Linked DNA regions of Saccharomyces cerevisiae S288C. The protein of the gene in region 3 interacts with the protein of the main gene of each other region in a biochemical or structural test. Each region holds a gene or a part of one and is shown on either strand. Other genes may lie near its edges.

What was found. The genes of interacting proteins can lie anywhere in the genome.
Region 1: the proteins of PIK1 (region 3) and SEC7 form a complex in vitro, tested with the Saccharomyces cerevisiae proteins (one study listed by BioGRID).
Region 2: the proteins of PIK1 (region 3) and BMH2 form a complex in vitro, tested with the Saccharomyces cerevisiae proteins (one study listed by BioGRID).

The regions. Positions count from the first base shown.
Region 1 is NC_001136.10:795,996-804,197, forward strand, and holds SEC7 (Arf family guanine nucleotide exchange factor SEC7), read right to left. Parts: upstream 6,228-8,202; coding exon 198-6,227; downstream 1-197. Other genes in the region: YDR170W-A (gag protein), read left to right, coding at 7,200-8,202. UniProt on the Saccharomyces cerevisiae protein: Guanine exchange factor that acts as an activator of ARF1 at the trans-Golgi network and is thus involved in vesicular budding and traffic between compartments of the Golgi apparatus.
Region 2 is NC_001136.10:651,942-655,155, reverse strand, and holds BMH2 (14-3-3 family protein BMH2), read right to left. Parts: upstream 1,550-3,214; coding exon 728-1,549; downstream 1-727. Other genes in the region: TVP15 (Tvp15p), read right to left, coding at 1-143.
Region 3 is NC_001146.8:139,150-144,805, reverse strand, and holds PIK1 (1-phosphatidylinositol 4-kinase), read right to left. Parts: upstream 3,929-5,656; coding exon 728-3,928; downstream 1-727. Other genes in the region: IST1 (Ist1p), read left to right, coding at 1-526; LYP1 (lysine permease), read right to left, coding at 4,421-5,656. UniProt on the Saccharomyces cerevisiae protein: Acts on phosphatidylinositol (PI) in the first committed step in the production of the second messenger inositol 1,4,5,-trisphosphate. PIK1 is part of a nuclear phosphoinositide cycle and could control cytokinesis through the actin cytoskeleton.

The sequences.
Region 1 (8,202 bases), on a different chromosome or scaffold from region 3:
AACTTGATAAGTCTTTCTACATAGTTTACATATTTGTTATTGCTATATGATGTACCTTGTTTATGAATTAAACGAATCTAAAAAGGATCACCGCCACTAAATCAGGATTAATATGAGTAAAAGTATATCAACCTTCTCATTTTTTCTGTGTTCTACAACTAAGCATATTTTAATCTGCTGGACCATTCAACAAAGCCTTAATCAGTAGAAAGGTATAATTCACCAACTCTGCTTAGAAATTGTTTTATAGCATGTCTCAACTCCGTTGGAACGCTCTTATCTAATATTTGAATCACCAGAGCATACATAGCAGGACAGTATAGTCTAAAGTCTTCATCATCAAATTCGTAGTAACCTTGTAATATTTCAACTATCACTGAACGCCAGGCATTGATACTACGTTCCATGGTTCTATCATCCAAAGAAACATAACCCTCTACGACCTGGATGCAAATGGTGATCAGACGAGTTATTAAATCAGCCTTCTTCTCATCATCGTTCAGATACAACTGAAACATAATGTCAAGGAGAACTGCAGCAGCACTCGTTTCTTGTTTCAACAGGTTTGGTATTTTATCAACTACACGAGCCTCTACTAGTCTTGTTCTTAACCCATAATCTTCATTAAAGTCACGAGAAAATTCGTACGATTTCTCCAACAATCTTGTAATTCTAATGGCTTCCTTGTAAGGGATACAGTGGGCAAAATCTTCGTTCTCGAATAATTCGTTGAGCAGCTCTATCATCAAAAGCTGTAAAACACATTTGACAACAATAGAATTCTTGATGTTTATTCTCCTACGTATATCTTCGTTACTTTCGTTTCGTTTCATGTGCTTAGTTTTCTTGGGGATACTTAGACTAGCGGGCTTTGGATTCAATTCGTCCTTTACCGTCGGAACGGAATTGCCATTATTAAGCTTAGTTTGCCCATTGAGTGTTTCAACCATGTCACCACCAACGTCTTCGCTGGATTCTTCTTGATGCGCTCTTTCGACCGTCTCACTGATATTAGAATCGTTCTCCCTTCTGTCGTTGCTATCATCATCTGAGTGTTGGCTGGTATCATTAGTTGTTTGGTGATGAGATACAGATGATTTTCTTCCTTGCTGTAACGGATCATAATCGAACAATTCATTAGCAGTGGTTAAATCAAACAATTTATCGAATACGTCACCTATTTGATTCCAATGGTACTCATTGAATTTAGATACGTTTTGCAATATCAATTGTTGCAGGCAGGATCTCCCAATTCTAGCAATAGTGTCATTTTCTTGACAAATACAGGATACCAGCAGACCCAAAAATCCATCGAGCATTCTGTTCAACGATTCAAAGTAATGCGTAAAAAGGGCAATCAAGTTCCTTAAGGCTTGAATTAACGTGGTCGAAAGCCAAACACTTAAATCATCATGACTATTGAATTGGTTGACTTCCCAATGTTTGGATAATACACCGAAAATAGGAAATAGTAACTTCTTACAAATCTTTTCCCAGAAATCATCATTGAATTTACCACCATATGCCACTAGGGCATCGAACATATAGTTTAATGCACGTGATCTAACTTCTAAGTCTTCAGCTGTCATGATCGTATCATTGAAGCAGAATAACATAGGGAACCACACATCCTGGAATATGTCTTTCCCACGAAGTAAAGCATCGTTATGTTTTCTTTCTTCTTCAGTCTTATTTTCATTGTAAAAACAGATGTCTGCGACGTTCTGAGTCATCTTTCTTAGAGACTCCAAAGCATGTAGAGATAGCTTTTGGAATCTCTTATTTTTGGTGATTTCTCTGAAGACACCAACTAACTCAGAAAAGGCATCTTCTTGAGAGAATACGTTTTCGAAGTGATTTGTCACAATATCATTGCTAACCAGCAATTGCGTCTTTAATACAATGGATTCAGTGCTTGAGCGAGCCGTATATTGTAAGGATTCAAGAATAGGCTTCCAGCCAGATTTGATACTTTCCGATTTTGTCAATATGAAGTTCCTAAAACACTCAATAATCATTTCTTGAACTTCAGTGTTGCCACTATTTTGAACCGTGTATTCAAAAGGTTTTAAAAAATCATGTTGAAATTCAAAACCTGATAATTCCTCAATATCTAAAAATCTCATAGACAATTGACGCAGGGAATCGATAGCGAAAAATACTACTGCTAAGTTAGAGTTTGTAGCAATCTTGTTGAAAGCTTTTCCCATAACAGCCCAAAGCGGCGTCCATTCTAGTTTGATACGATCCATATTGTAGTAACATACATCGACCATTTTTTGCAAGGAAAACATTCTTGGTGTGGAAGCATTTTCAGATGATTCAATTTCTTCTAAAGATACAGCGGTTAAAGCTTTGATAAAATCAACGATAGCATTACCTGATAACTCGGAACTTTTGGTAAATATATTGTCCATCAAAACGACTAATTCACTGGAGGAAATGAATTTAGAGATTTCGGGTGATAAGGTTTGATTATGGTGTTTTTCTTGAGCCAATTCTGTGGGAGTTGCCTTCTTGCCCCAAACATCAAAGAAAGATGTATTATTGGATCTTGATGATTCGTAAGAAACTCTAGGGTTTGCAACACGAGCTTGTGCAACATCTGGAACCGTATCTCTGTCGATACCTTTGGATATCAATTGTAGTCTTTCCATTTGAGACACGACCAGCAAAATGTCCTTCCACGATCCCTCCAAGTAATTTCCTTCTGATAACGCGACTTCAAGAAGAATTACCATTGCATTGACATTTTTAACTTTGATTTCTTCAAGGTTTTGAAGGTTACAAAATTGGACTAACGCACCTACAAAGGAGGTTCTAGCATCATTGATTCTAAAAGTAGAAGCAATTTTAATTGATATTTTCAAGCCTTCTAAACACTTATTGGTTGTGTCAATGTCATCATAATCCTTAAATGGGGGGGTTAGAGCTGCTAAAAAGGACATCCATAGTGTCTCGAAAATTGATTTAACATGCTCAACGTGGGAAGCAGCATAATAGACGTCTGGGCCTCCTTTATTTTTGTTTAAATTCTTAAAGACTAATTCCGTTTTAGATGAAATTTCTTTTGAGACTTGATTATATGCCTCTCTTGTCAAATCACGAGAATTAAAGAAGTTGAAAGCAGATTGCTGTTGTTGGACAAGATTGGTATCACCTGAAAGCATTGCCTGATGCTGTTCAGAAATTAACTTGATTTCATTGTTAGCAATTTCGTTGAACAAACCTTCCAAGAAGTCTCTTGGTAAATCTCTTCCGTTGTCAATACCTTCGTTGTTTTCTAAAAACTCTTGTAAAGACATTTTATTTTTGATTTGTGACGAATGTAAATCAGTATTCAACATGATCAAAGAATACGAAAGCACATATGCAGTATCCGCCTTTGAAAAGACTCCGGGGTTTTGGTCCACAAATCTTTCCGCAAATTTCAGCATGAATCTGTCAATTTTTTGACCTTCTCCAGGCAATCTGAAACTTTGTAAAAATGACCTTAATGCGTCAACAATGGACATACCAGTGAAGTCAAACTCATCAACAAATGCGTGCATTATAGCGATGTTCTTGTCGTCTCCTTCGCCTAGATAATCCCCAACAGCGGCCATGTCGAGGCCTTCTGTTTCTAATAACCACTTGGCAATGGAAATTGGAGAATCATCTTTCAAAAATCCTTTTTTAATAAGTACTGGAATAGCTTTCTTGGGTTTATTGTTGAAAATAGCAATACATTCCGATAAAGCAGTTTTCCTTAGTTTCAAATTTTCAAATTGTGTGGGGTCGTCTGCGTCAATGTTTTGACTGCTCAATGATCTGCTTTCTTCGTCTTCATATGTTGGTTTGAAGTCATCATTACTTGTCATAATAGAAGACCTTACGTCGTTACTCAAAGATGATCTAGATTCTTGACGAGCTGAAGATGTTGTGTTTAGTAATACCTTATTAGCAGTGTGTGTGTTTGGATTTAAAGCTTTGTGAGCCCATGAGCTTAAGGAACGCAAAACTGACACAATGCAATTTAGTGACACCATTTTGAGAGCAAAATCAAGTGGAAAAAGTAAATTGACTTGACCAACATCAGGACTAGAAGACAAGTTGGAAGAAGTCAAAAGGGGCAATTGTGAGAAATTGTAGGTGGACAGGGATTTTGATATTTGTTCATCGTAGTATGATCTTTGAGTCTGAGTAATTTCCACCCTAGTTAAAGCCAATCTTGTCAAATAATCAACAGTTATTTCCATTACATTTGGCATTCCAGGGTTACAATCATAATTCAAGTAAAATTCAACTAAAGTTCTTGGGTCGTTACAAATTCGTTGAATAACACTTAAAAAATATCTCTTTTGTTGGGAGGTGGAAGTGGTTAATTCTGAAATGGGGAAGTAGATTTCTGTTAAAAAAACTGGAATTTCCTTCACGAAATCTGCTCTCAAATTAGCAATCAATAGCCACATAATTTCTAAAGTAACCTCGAAAACTGGAGCTAGAGGCGAGGCAGCATTCCTTGATAAAACAAGACGTAAATATTGTCTAATTGAATCGATAAAGCACACACGCTCCTTTCCTGGTAGAAAAATGTTGTGGGAAAGGAATACGTCAATATGATCTTTGATAATAGAGTAAATGATGTGAAGAGATAAAAGCTTTGACCTGACGGCATGTGACCTCATGTCGAGTTCTGTTTCCAAAGGTTTAGCACATATTTTCGCCATGACTCTAAACACTAAGAACGCATCTTTAACAGCTAGATCTTGGTTAGTTATGGCGATAGAATCAGGCTGTTGAGCGTCCATTAGTCTTTCCTCATCGTCATTCAACTTATCCATATTTTCCAGAGTTAAAGGAGCCGGCGTTTCTGCATTTTCAGAAGCCTCGGAAAGTTCTATGGCGGATTGTTGTTGATGATTTTTTGTCGATAAGGATACTGCTGAAGAGGTACTTTGTTTGAGATCGATTTTATCATACACCGAACTAATAATTTGTGTCAAGGTCGCCTGTGCAATACCTTGATTGGATGGGTTCAACGAAAAGACGAAAACGTTGTAGATTGTTCTGATAGCCTTTAGCAAGGAAGCACCGTGGCATAAAGAACTTGAATCCTCTTCTAAAATGCAACTAGATAAAGCTCTAACGATTTGTAGTTCCACACGGTCATCAGTGCCTTCACCTTGAAAACAGTCTGAAATAGTATCAATTGCAGCGTCTATAATTTTTTGTTTTGGAGGCGGCGTTATTCCATCGGCAGCATCTTGTCGTTGATCATTAGAGGCTAAAGAATCGGGTGGATTCACTAACAGGGTCTCGTCTAGCGATCTAAAAGAAAACAATTTTGACAGGCAATCTAAAGCCAAACTTTGAACTTTGGAGGATTTGGTACGACAGCTTGCCCTTAGTGCTTCGAATACTAGTATTGAATCCACGTAATGTGGGTTATTCGTGGTTTGCGGATCAAATTCCTTAAATTTTTGTAATGTCCTTTCGATAGCCTTCTGAGCATTCGAATTCTTTTTAATGTCCTTATCATTTAAAATTGTCTCCAACGTAGTTTTCACTAAAATTATGGTTGAGTTTGTGTTCGAACCATTTGAAGATAGTGATATGTTCCTCGTATGGGTAGACCTTGGGGCAGTAGAATCGTTGGTGGGAACACTATCTTGATGAGCGATAGCTGGTTCGCCAGCATTTTCCTCTTCTTCTTCTTCTTCTTCTTCTTCTTCTTCTTCTTCTGACCCGCTTTCATCACCAGAGGAGCTGTTTGATGTATTTCCATCGCTTTCATCAGATTCTTCATCTTCTCCAGAGCTACTCTCAGTACTTTCCCCTGAGACTGATTCAGAATCTTCCCCGTCTTCGGAACTGGTTTCGGAACTACTGCTATCCACGTCCTCATCATCCTCGTCCCCATTGTCTTCATCTTCATCTTCATCTTCATCTTCATCTTCATCTCCATCTTCACCTTCATCGTCATGGCGTTTGTCATTTGTATCTTCCGTTTCTTCGGGCGTTTTCATTCCGTTGGTAGCGTCGTTACTTGTTTCTTTTGTTTCTGCCGTACTGCCAGCGTTTTCTGGCCCTTTGCATTTTTGATCTTCACCATTTGTCTCTTTAGCTTCTTCTTTAATAGCATTCTGTGGTTTCACAGACGGATTGACTGAAGAAGCAGTCTCTACATTTGAAGATATTTCGCCATCCCCTTTTTCAGCATTTACTACTGAATTCTGTTCAGACATCAGATATAGTAGCACTTAGACTTGTTTCTTATCTTCTTTAATGGAATTCGGGGAAAAAATGAGAAAGAAACAGTTTAAGATATTACTTTTTATTGGTTCTGGAGAAACTTAAAAGAAATCGAGTATAGCTTAGTTGCAGAAAATATTTTATATTTCTCCGGAAAATGACTTCAATTTCTATTAGTCTGCGTTTATTGAACAATTGGAGAGAAGCCAATGATGCTTTTTAAAGAAATGATGTAAATCCCAACTTTGAGCTTCCTTTCTCGTTGCTTTGTTTTTCCCTCGCCTCGATATTATAAAATTTACTCGGCGCCTTGATAAAAACTAAACGTTCACCTTCTTTCCTGTAGAGGGAAAATAACAATATGTATAAGCCTTCTCCGACATCAAAAAACTGTAAGAGCTTCAAAAGTACTAAAGTGTATATCTTAAGAGCATCGTTGGCTCCACTCTAACACATCAACAAAAAATATCAATGTTGATTTGTTAGAGTAAAAATAAAAAGAGGTCCTACCCGGATTCGAACCGGGGTTGTCCGGATCAAAACCGAAAGTGATAACCACTACACTATAGGACCGACAATTCATGTTAAATCCTCCTTTTTTAGGCTTTTATAAGTTACTTTGACTAGAGATGACTAGAAATGATTATATTACACGCACACACAATACACACATAGTGTTGGAATAAAAATCCACTATCGTCTATCAACTAATAGTTATATTATCAATATATTATCATATACGGTGTTAAGATGATGACATAAGTTATGAGAAGCTGTCATCGAAGTTAGAGGAAGCTGAAGTGCAAGGATTGATAATGTAATAGGATAATGAAACATATAAAACAGAATGAGGAATAATCGTAATATTGGTATATAGAAATATAGATTCCATTATGGGGATTCCTGACCCTCGAGGAGAACTTCTAGTATATTCTGTATACCTAATATTATAGCCTTTATCAACAATGGAATCCCAACAATTATCTCAACATTCACCCATTTCTCATGGTAGCGCCTGTGCTTCGGTTACTTCTAAAGAAGTCCAAACAACTCAAGATCCGTTAGACATTTCAGCTTCCAAAACAGAAGAATGTGAGAAGGTTTTCACTCAGGCTAATTCTCAACAGCCAACAACACCTCCCTCAGCTGCTGTTCCAGAGAACCATCATCATGCCTCTCCTCAAGCTGCTCAAGTACCATTGCCACAAAATGGGCCGTACCCACAGCAGCGAATGATGACTCCCCAACAAGCCAATATTTCTGGTTGGCCAGTATACGGGCACCCATCTTTGATGCCGTATCCACCTTATCAAATGTCACCTATGTACGCTCCACCTGGAGCACAATCACAGTTTACACAATATCCACAATATGTTGGAACACATTTGAACACCCCGTCACCTGAGTCAGGTAATTCATTTCCTGATTCATCCTCAGCAAAGTCTAATATGACATCCACTAATCAACATGTCAGACCACCGCCAATCTTAACCTCACCTAATGACTTTCTAAATTGGGTTAAAATATACATCAAATTTTTACAAAATTCGAATCTCGGTGATATTATTCCGACAGCAACAAGAAAAGCCGTACGTCAGATGACTGATGACGAACTCACCTTCTTATGTCACACCTTTCAACTATTTGCTCTATCTCAATTCTTACCCACCTGGGTTAAAGACATCTTATCTGTTGATTATACAGATATCATGAAAATTCTTTCCAAAAGCATTAACAAAATGCAGTCTGATACTCAAGAGGTAAATGACATTACGACCCTAGCAAATTTGCATTATAATGGAAGTACACCTGCAGATGCATTTGAAGCAGAAGTCACAAACATTCTTGACAGACTAAAAAACAATGGCATTCCTATCAATAACAAGGTAGCATGCCAATTCATTATGAGAGGTCTATCTGGCGAATACAAATTTTTACGCTACGCACGTCATCGATATATACATATGA
Region 2 (3,214 bases), on a different chromosome or scaffold from region 3:
GAGAGTGCCAGTCCGTAAACTGCCAAGAGGAAGACGTTTAAATTGGTGAAAATATACGTCAATTGTGAAAGGGCAGCAATAATGTCTATGCAGCCAATTGATATATTTGCAATCTTGAAGAATTTTGGAGGAATAACTGACATCCTTTCGTTTGTGATCCCTTGTGGTTATTTGACTTTGTTTATTGTCCTCTCTTGTAAGACATACATATTAATGGTCATAGTTTTCCACTCGAAGTATTTTTCCGTTGCGGATTTACGCTACTATACCCCCGCCCCCCTACACCCAGGGAGCGCTGTTTCATCAAATGAGAAAAGATGCCTTCACCTTCAATAGGTAAGGTAGATCAAGATTCAAAGGAAAACAGAAGAAAGAGGTGCGTATACAATGGAAGGAACTTATTTTAAAACATACGAAAATTACTACTCAATTACTCTCGCAAATTGTCTCAACTCTGAACGATAGCCAAAATATAAGAATACACGAAGAAAACAGTGATAGAAGTAATAGTAACAGAAAAACTATTTTATGTTATATATTAAGAAACTATTTTTTTAGAGGTTTGTATATTTTGTAGTTGGTAAAATTGAAAATTTTGTGAATTTGTATTAGACGAAGATATTATCTCTTCCCCTAAAAAAAGTATCAAAATCGAATTGCATTCATTTTCGTTAGCAAGAAAACTGGAGTGGTAAATCTTCATTTCCCCTTGTATTTCTCAGCGCTCTTATTTGGTTGGTTCACCTTGAGTTTGTTCAGCTGGAGCTTGTTGTTGCTGTTGTTGCTGTTGCTGTTGCTGTTGTTGTTGTTGTTGTTGATCTTCTTGACCAGATTCAGAAATATCAGAGGTCCATAAGGTCAAGTTGTCCCTTAATAATTGCATGATCAAAGTGCTATCCTTGTATGATTCTTCAGATAAAGTATCTAACTCAGCAATAGCATCATCAAAGGCTTGTTTGGCCAAGTGGCAAGCCTTATCAGGAGAGTTTTGAATTTCGTAATAGAAGACGGAGAAATTCAAAGCTAGACCTAAACGAATTGGGTGAGTTGGAGGCAATTCAGTTGTGGCGATTTCGGAAGCGGTTTTATAAGCCTCCAAAGAGGAGTTGGTTGCCTTTTCTCTTGCATCTCCGCTGGAAAATTCAGCTAAATAACGGTGGTAGTCACCCTTCATCTTATAGTAAAATACTTTAGACTCACCAGTAGTAGCAGAAGGGATTAAATGAGAATCTAACACAGATAAAATGTCGTCAGAGATTTTGGTCAATTCAGTTTCAATTTTAGAACGGTAAGAACGGATTAATTCAACTTGATGTTCAGATTTCTCCTTTGATTCTTCTTTTTGTTCGATCGAAGAAACTATTCTCCATGAAGCACGGCGAGCACCGATGACGTTCTTGTAAGCAACCGACAATAGATTCCGTTCTTCGACAGATAACTCTTGACCTGATGAAGCAACGGCCTTCATGTTTTCGACCATTTCTTCATAACGTTCGGCTTGTTCAGCTAATTTAGCTAGGTAAACAGAATCTTCACGAGTTTGGGACATTTTTTTTGTTGTAACGGGTACTTTTTGTTGATTTGATAATTTTTCTTTTTACTTCGTTTTGAAATTGTCAGAGTATTAACCTTCTGTCCAAGTTTTCTCGTTCTTTGCTTTTCCCCCTTAATCAATCGAAAAAAATAATGATTAAAAACCGGGAGAGGCAATTTTTTTTGAAAAAATAAGTTAGTAATTGAAATTTGATAAAAAGAACGAATGTTTAAGATAGCTCAAAAGATTTCGTAACCTTTGATGATGAATATTTGAAAAAAAAAAGACTACTGGAGGGACTTATAATAACATTTGCCCCTTTCGACCGACTTTTTCCTCGTATTTCGTGTGTGTCATTTTGCTGATCCGGGTGACACACTACTAATCATTTCGAGCAGACGACCGATTTGTCCGTTCTTCCTAAACAAAAAAGGGACGATTTCAATAGTATTCGCTGTATTATTATCTCTGGTCATATGAATACCCACGCTTGAATTACGGATTGGTCGTAACAAAAATAAGTGTTACCTCGCTGTTCTGACAGAGATAACTAAACATTTCAGAATGCAACATCACACGGGTGGACCTATGTTCTAGTTCTTGTATTAGAAGAAAGCAATCCGCTGTGCTTAAACCAATATAAGATATATATAAAAAAAAGAAAGTGGGAAAAACAAAGGAAGAGAAACTATAACACTTCACTTTCAAGGCCTGTTAAGTTGATATAATTAACATTTTCAGGAGAGTAACATTCATGTCGGTAATAATTCAAATCAGAGAAGATGAAGGTGGTTGTGGAAGGAGCTATTAATGAAACAAGTTATTGAGAGGTAAAACATACGGTTCGATTCAAATATGAATTCTTAAATTTGAAGGTGGTGTGGAAAAGAATGCAATTGATCGCGCTAATTTCAAAAGATAATATTAAGTAGAAATGAGGGAAGAAGCTGAAGCGAAAGATATATAAGTCATCAATATATATAAACAGGGACTTTGTTTATGAGCTCATGTTATAAATACAGATAAGACAGAATTGAGAAAGAGGAGAAAGAGCGATCTATGCGATTCGCCCCCGAATCTTCTCGTCACGGAAGACCGTGCATTTTCTACGGCAGCGGCTATGGTGTAATTGTCATTAACAACGGAGAGTGTTTGAGCGGCTAATTTTCGGTATTCCAAGAGACAAATTTGATTTGTACGAGGTATATGAACGATGCTCACTATATGTTGGAACTTTTGAAACATCTTTGTCTATTTCTCACAGAAATTGATGCTGTGTTACTTCGTTTCATGATTTTTCGGAAAGATACTGTGTAAGGTTATCATATATGAAGCGATACGTGCTGACCATAAAGCAGTACTTCAATAAAACGTTTTCCGAAAAAATGTAGTGTTGGAATGAAATCTTAGTGTCATTTTTTGACTAGTGTTCATGCTAATAATATTTTTTTAATGCAGTCTTTCAGTCTTCTGTTATGTAGTTTTTGTCATGATTAGAACAATTTATTCCTCGAAGACCTTATTCTTCTCATTGATGTTGCCATACACTATGTGTGCCATCTGGAGATTTTTATTAGCTCGTTATGTGAATGACTATTTACTTTACAGAACGATAATGGCGCGCTCATTGTATTAAGACTCCTATAACCTATAGAGTACTATTTTATATTATTGCTATAT
Region 3 (5,656 bases):
ACTTAGCCAATTGAAAGATTTGATGGCCTGGAAAATAAACGTTGAGTTTGTTAATGGAGTAATAGCAGATCATATCGATGTCCCTGAAAAGATTATAAAAAAATGCTCTCCCTCAGTTCCAAAAGAAGAACTAGTTGATCTTTATTTGAAGGAAATCGCGAAAACATACGATGTGCCATATAGTAAGCTGGAGAATTCCTTATCTTCGTCGTCTTCTAACATTTCTTCAGACTTTAGTGACCCCTCGGGAGATATCGAGGATAATGACGAAGAAAAGCCTATTTTAGCCTTAGATAATGACGATAATGACAATGCAGATGCTAAACACCCTATCACTGTTAAAAAGCCTAGGCAGAATAGTGAAAATATCAAGAACGAGCTCAAGATTCCGAAAGATATCAAAAAGGAAGTGATCGAAAAGAAACAATCAGAAAAGAAAACTACAAAAAGAAAGACTAAGAAGGAGCAAGAAAATGATGAACTAGATGAGTTGAAGAAACGGTTTGACGCTTTACGCAGAAAATAAGATAATAATTTATATGTATGGTTAATTAACCACATATTTATTTTACTCTCATTCTTTTACCTTGCTTTTTCTGAGTCAGCTGCTCTATTATTCTCGGCAATAAATAAATATATGTATATTCCTTTTACTAAAATTCCAATTTTTTTGTTCTCCGGACATTTGCAAATTGTTTTTCCAGTTCTGTCACAGCTATTTTCCTTCTCAGCTATATATACCCTGTGTAATAAGTTGAAATTGGTCGTATATTCTGGTGTAAATACTACCCAAAGATTTACCTATCAAGAAATTTTCTACGAAGTCATCAACTTCTTTTTCTGATAAGTCCAATTGGAACCTTTGTCGTAGTTGTACACTTGTTTGTTCGCCAGCATCGAAACAAGGCTGCATATTGTCCTTTTGCATAATCTCACACATTGATACGATTTGATCAGCATACTTTCTCAGAGCCTTGAACGAACTTTTAGTTAGTTCAACAAACTTTTTAAACGCTTCTCCCTCTACTCCGCCTAGCAGTTCAATATATTCGTAAGTTAATTTGAATGGTGCGGCCTCAAAGCCCACTGAGCCGGGTGAATTTGATAGCATAAATCCAAAATCGATGTGACTTACATGGCCTTCGTTATCGATCATAATGTTACCGTTGTGTCTATCTTTAACCTGCAAGAGATAGCAAATGACAGAATATGCGGCTAACGAAGAAGCAAAGTTGTCTTGTGCTCTTCTATACTTAAATCCATTAGGATTACCAAAAGCTCTAAGGAAGTGATCATTCAAAGAGGCAATACCACCCTTGTCATCTAGTTCTGCATCTTCAATCATTTTTTTGGTTAAAGCCTTTTTAATACTATGCACAGACATAGCATTTGTGATGGTCTCCACAAGTCCCGTATTCGCACTAGTAATTAAAATTTTCATTCTTTTAACCCAAACGTCAACTTTTTCTTTAACCCAAATATTGGCCATCGCTTGAATCATCTGGTATGCAAACGCCTCCTGTCTCAAATCATCACCCGTCTTGGCGATTACAGAACATAAATCCCAGTTTTCGAAATGGCCATATTCCGAAGTTTTACGTATCCTCTCTTTCTTGGTAGCCCAATCTTCACCTAGATATGAAGTGTCAATACCACCCGTCATTAAATCGTTTTCCAATTTTCTCTCACCTGCCATTCCATGAAGGGCTTCCAAATCATGGTAACCAAATTTATCCTGCACCTCCTTCATTGATGAAATAATTTGAGCGCGGATTTGTTTGGTACTTTCTGATAACTGTTGTGGCGACTTATCCAATTGTGCTAACATAACAGCTGAAACTCTCATCTGGTCTGCTAAAGCGTCAGTTTGGCTATGTATATTTTTGCTATTAATTCCATTCTCGATGAGTACTTCGTCCAAGTTTGAGCCAAAGTTCAACTCTGGGCTTCTGTCTTGACTATCATCAGGTAAAATTGGAACATTTGCGGCACTCTGTATTACTAAAGCATTTCTATACGCTTCGTCATCCGTTCTGTTCCTGACTTTTACCATTGACATATCACCTAAATCTTCCTCTTTATTGACTTCAGTCCTAACATGAGCTGTGGACGCTGAATCACTTCTTGAGGTACTGGATAGACCTTCATTGCGGGAGGCCCCGTTGTTGAACGAGTTACTATCATATACCGAAGATCGAGTGTTGTTGCTAGTAAGAGTACTTTCATTTCTATTTTCGTTGTTTTCTTTTCTATTCATGTAATTTAAATCAAATATCAAGCCTCCCTGATTACCACTGATCTTCTTTAATAATCTTTCATTGGTTTCACTTGTTGGGTCAAAATCAAATTCGTCTCTCAAGTATTCTATCAGGAGTAAATATGGAACTTTTTCTGCAGAGTTCAAAACTTGTGCCTCATTAGCAGTAATGGTCACTAATTTATGTAACTTTCCTTTTTTATTTGGAGGCAATAAAGTGGGGATATCTACTTCCGCTGGTAGGTCCCTGTTTAATAGAAACAACTCGGCTCGTAAGGCACTCAATCTAGCTTCTGTCGGTACTCGAGCTAGCCTTTGAGATATTGTTTCTAGCGCAATGGCAAATTGTGTCTCGCAACGAAAATAATTTGCTTTTAACATTTTTATTTTTGAAGTGGTCGATAATTGCGACAAGTCAATTTCTTGACTCAAAGAAGAATTCGCTTTTTTACTGTTTTTGAATGCCTGGCGCGAAAGGGGTTGGGAATTGGTCCTGTTTAACTTAGGTGTCCCTTCTAAAGAAGCAGATGAAGCAGAAGAAGTCCTTGGTTGAATATTATGCAGATCTGGCATAGAACTGGTGAAGTGATCAGAGTTTAAAGCGTCCGCGTCCTCCTCCGTTTCACCACCAGTTTCATCTTCATTGTTACCAATCTCATTATTTTCATCATTACGTCCCTTTGGAGAAATATAATCACCTTTATTTCCATCGAGAGCCTTTGCGGTATTTGAAATGCTTCCGTCCCTGTTTATATTTTTGCCATCATATGTCCTATGAACGTATGAATTATCCAAATACTTAGGTTTACGTTTTGGGAGTTTGATTGAAGATGAGATTCTTTCTTCAAAGACCTGGTTACCTATATCATCCACAATGTCGAAATCCAATTTTACCTCACTATGTCTGGATTTCCTGAAGGATGCATCTTCTTTAGTTTTTATTGGATCTATTAAATCTATTGGAGAAGTCGGAGTTGAACTGCGATTTGAGCTAACTCTTTTGGATCTGGAAGTTTTCTTGTTTAGTAGGGTATTTTTCAAGGTCATGTTCTTGGTAAAATCTTTCATTGCACTTCTAGCCAACTTAAAAACGAAAGCTTTTTGTCTTCTACCTTGAGATTCCACTAATGGTTTGGTCACTTCGCTTAATTGGGGGAATGCTATAGCCGACATTATCATAGAGGAAAGAACTAAGGCCGGTGCAACGTTTTCATGTATTTTAACATTTTTATCGCTACCTGAACTTGTGTTAAAGAGATTGGTTTGTAAGTTGTTTAAGACTCTTCTAGCCACTTGGAAGCCATAAGAAGCGGGGTCAGTAGATAAATCCGTTAGTAACGCTTGTAACTGCCAAAACGTCAGTAGTGCAAAATGAGGGTTTTCCGCCCTCAACCTTAATAGTAAATCTTCTAAAGCCATTGATTCTGTCTCCATGGTGACGAGGACCTGTACTAGTTGGGGAATATAGAACTGTAGTTCGCTGTGAGGAAATGTGGCCAATTTCTGACATAAATAGTAATGTATACCAATATTTTCGGAGTGTTTGCACAGTAACTCCACACAATTGTGAAGGGTGAATTCACTAGAGTTGATCAGTTTCAGTAATTGTTCATTTTTTTTTAGTTCAATAGTATCATCAAAGCTTTTCTTTGAACTGGATGCTTTATGCATAGTGAAGAGAACGAATGCTTAATGAAAACGAACGCTCGCAATGAAGAAAAATGATAAGCTAATTGAAAATTTCTAGCAGGGTCCAGGGATCTTCTTAATATAGAAGTTGGGCCTAAAAAATGAAGGGTCTTCAGTATAAGATCTTGTACTTTTAGTTTTTCTCTAACGAATTTTTTGGTAGGGTTCTTTTGTTTCAGTGCAATAACACGAAAATGACAACAGTTGAACATATCGTGAATAATGACCCTGTTATACACGCTATCAAGTACGTAAAGGATAATATGGAAAATTTATTATAGATTTGAGTACTATCGCTGGCCGAAGGTGACAATGGCCTTATGATGTAACATACTATGAATAGTGAATAATAAGTGGTGATATTATACATAAAGTTTGGGGCAATCCCTCAAAATCTCTACAGGCTATTTTGATTAATGAAACGTCTATTTTTTTATTTTTTTCTATTTTGAAGGCATGCAAGAGGTTCTGTGACTATGCAACAGCAGCCCAGAATTTCTCCCATAAATTCTTAGGCTCGTCGTCTTCCCAAATAATTGCTTCGATTTCTCTTCTGTCGGAATCGATGTCAATATCTTCTAGCTTCCAAATAAATCTGCATTTGTAGTATATCTGGCAACCAATGAACACAACGGCTAAAAGAATCAAGGAGATGTAAGATGTGAAAAACTCAGAAACTTTGAACGGACAGAACGCTTGGAACCCTTGGATGAATATGATGACGGTGACAAAAAAGGCTGCGTAGTAGGCACCATAAGGCATCAATTTGGCCTTGAAGGGCAGATCATCACGAGAAATACCACGGTGCTTTAAAGCTTGCATGAACCTAATATGTGCCAAAGAGATGAATAACCAGGCGCATAACCCAGCCAAAGTGGAAATGTTGATCAACCAGTTAAATGCAGTGTTTGCATTGTTATTGACAACCAGGAATGCCAAAAGACCCAATGCAGCAGTGCAAACAACACCGAGATATGGAACACCCTGTCTGGTGACGTATCCAAATTGCTTTGGTGCGTTACCAGTCCTAGCTAAAGAGTAAAGAACACGGGAACCAACGTAAACATTCGAATTAGCGGCAGATACAACAGTAATCAACACCACGGCGTTGAAAATATCTGGAAGAGCATAAGTACCAGCGTTTTGAATGGAAATAACGAAGGGTGATGATGCAATAACAGCAGAACTAGCAGATAAACGGGAATCGTTGTATGGAACCAGTAGACCAATAAAGAACAAAGACATAATATAGAATAGTACGATTCTAAAGACGACTTTATTGATAGCTCTTGGAACGGTCTTTCTTGGGTTAGCCGCTTCACCAGCGGTGATCCCAACCAGTTCAGTACCTTGGTACGTAAATGCAGCATTAATCAAGGAGGAGACCCATCCGAGAAAACGGCCTTCACTTTTATCACTGGAGATGATGCCTGGCCCCCAGGCTCCTGGATTTCTCCAGTACCTGAAACCGATAGGGCCCTGGTGGGATCCACCGCAGACAATAATCAAAGCATATATCAAGTAACCCATAATGGCTAAAACTTTAACAGAGGCCACCCAGAACTCAAATTCACCATAAACTTTGACAGGGAAAAAATTCATCAAAGTAATAATTACCCAGAATATCGCAATCCAGGCCGCTAATGGAACTTTATCTGTCCAGTATTCAATAACTTGGCCAATGACAGAAACCTCCACAGCATAAGTAAT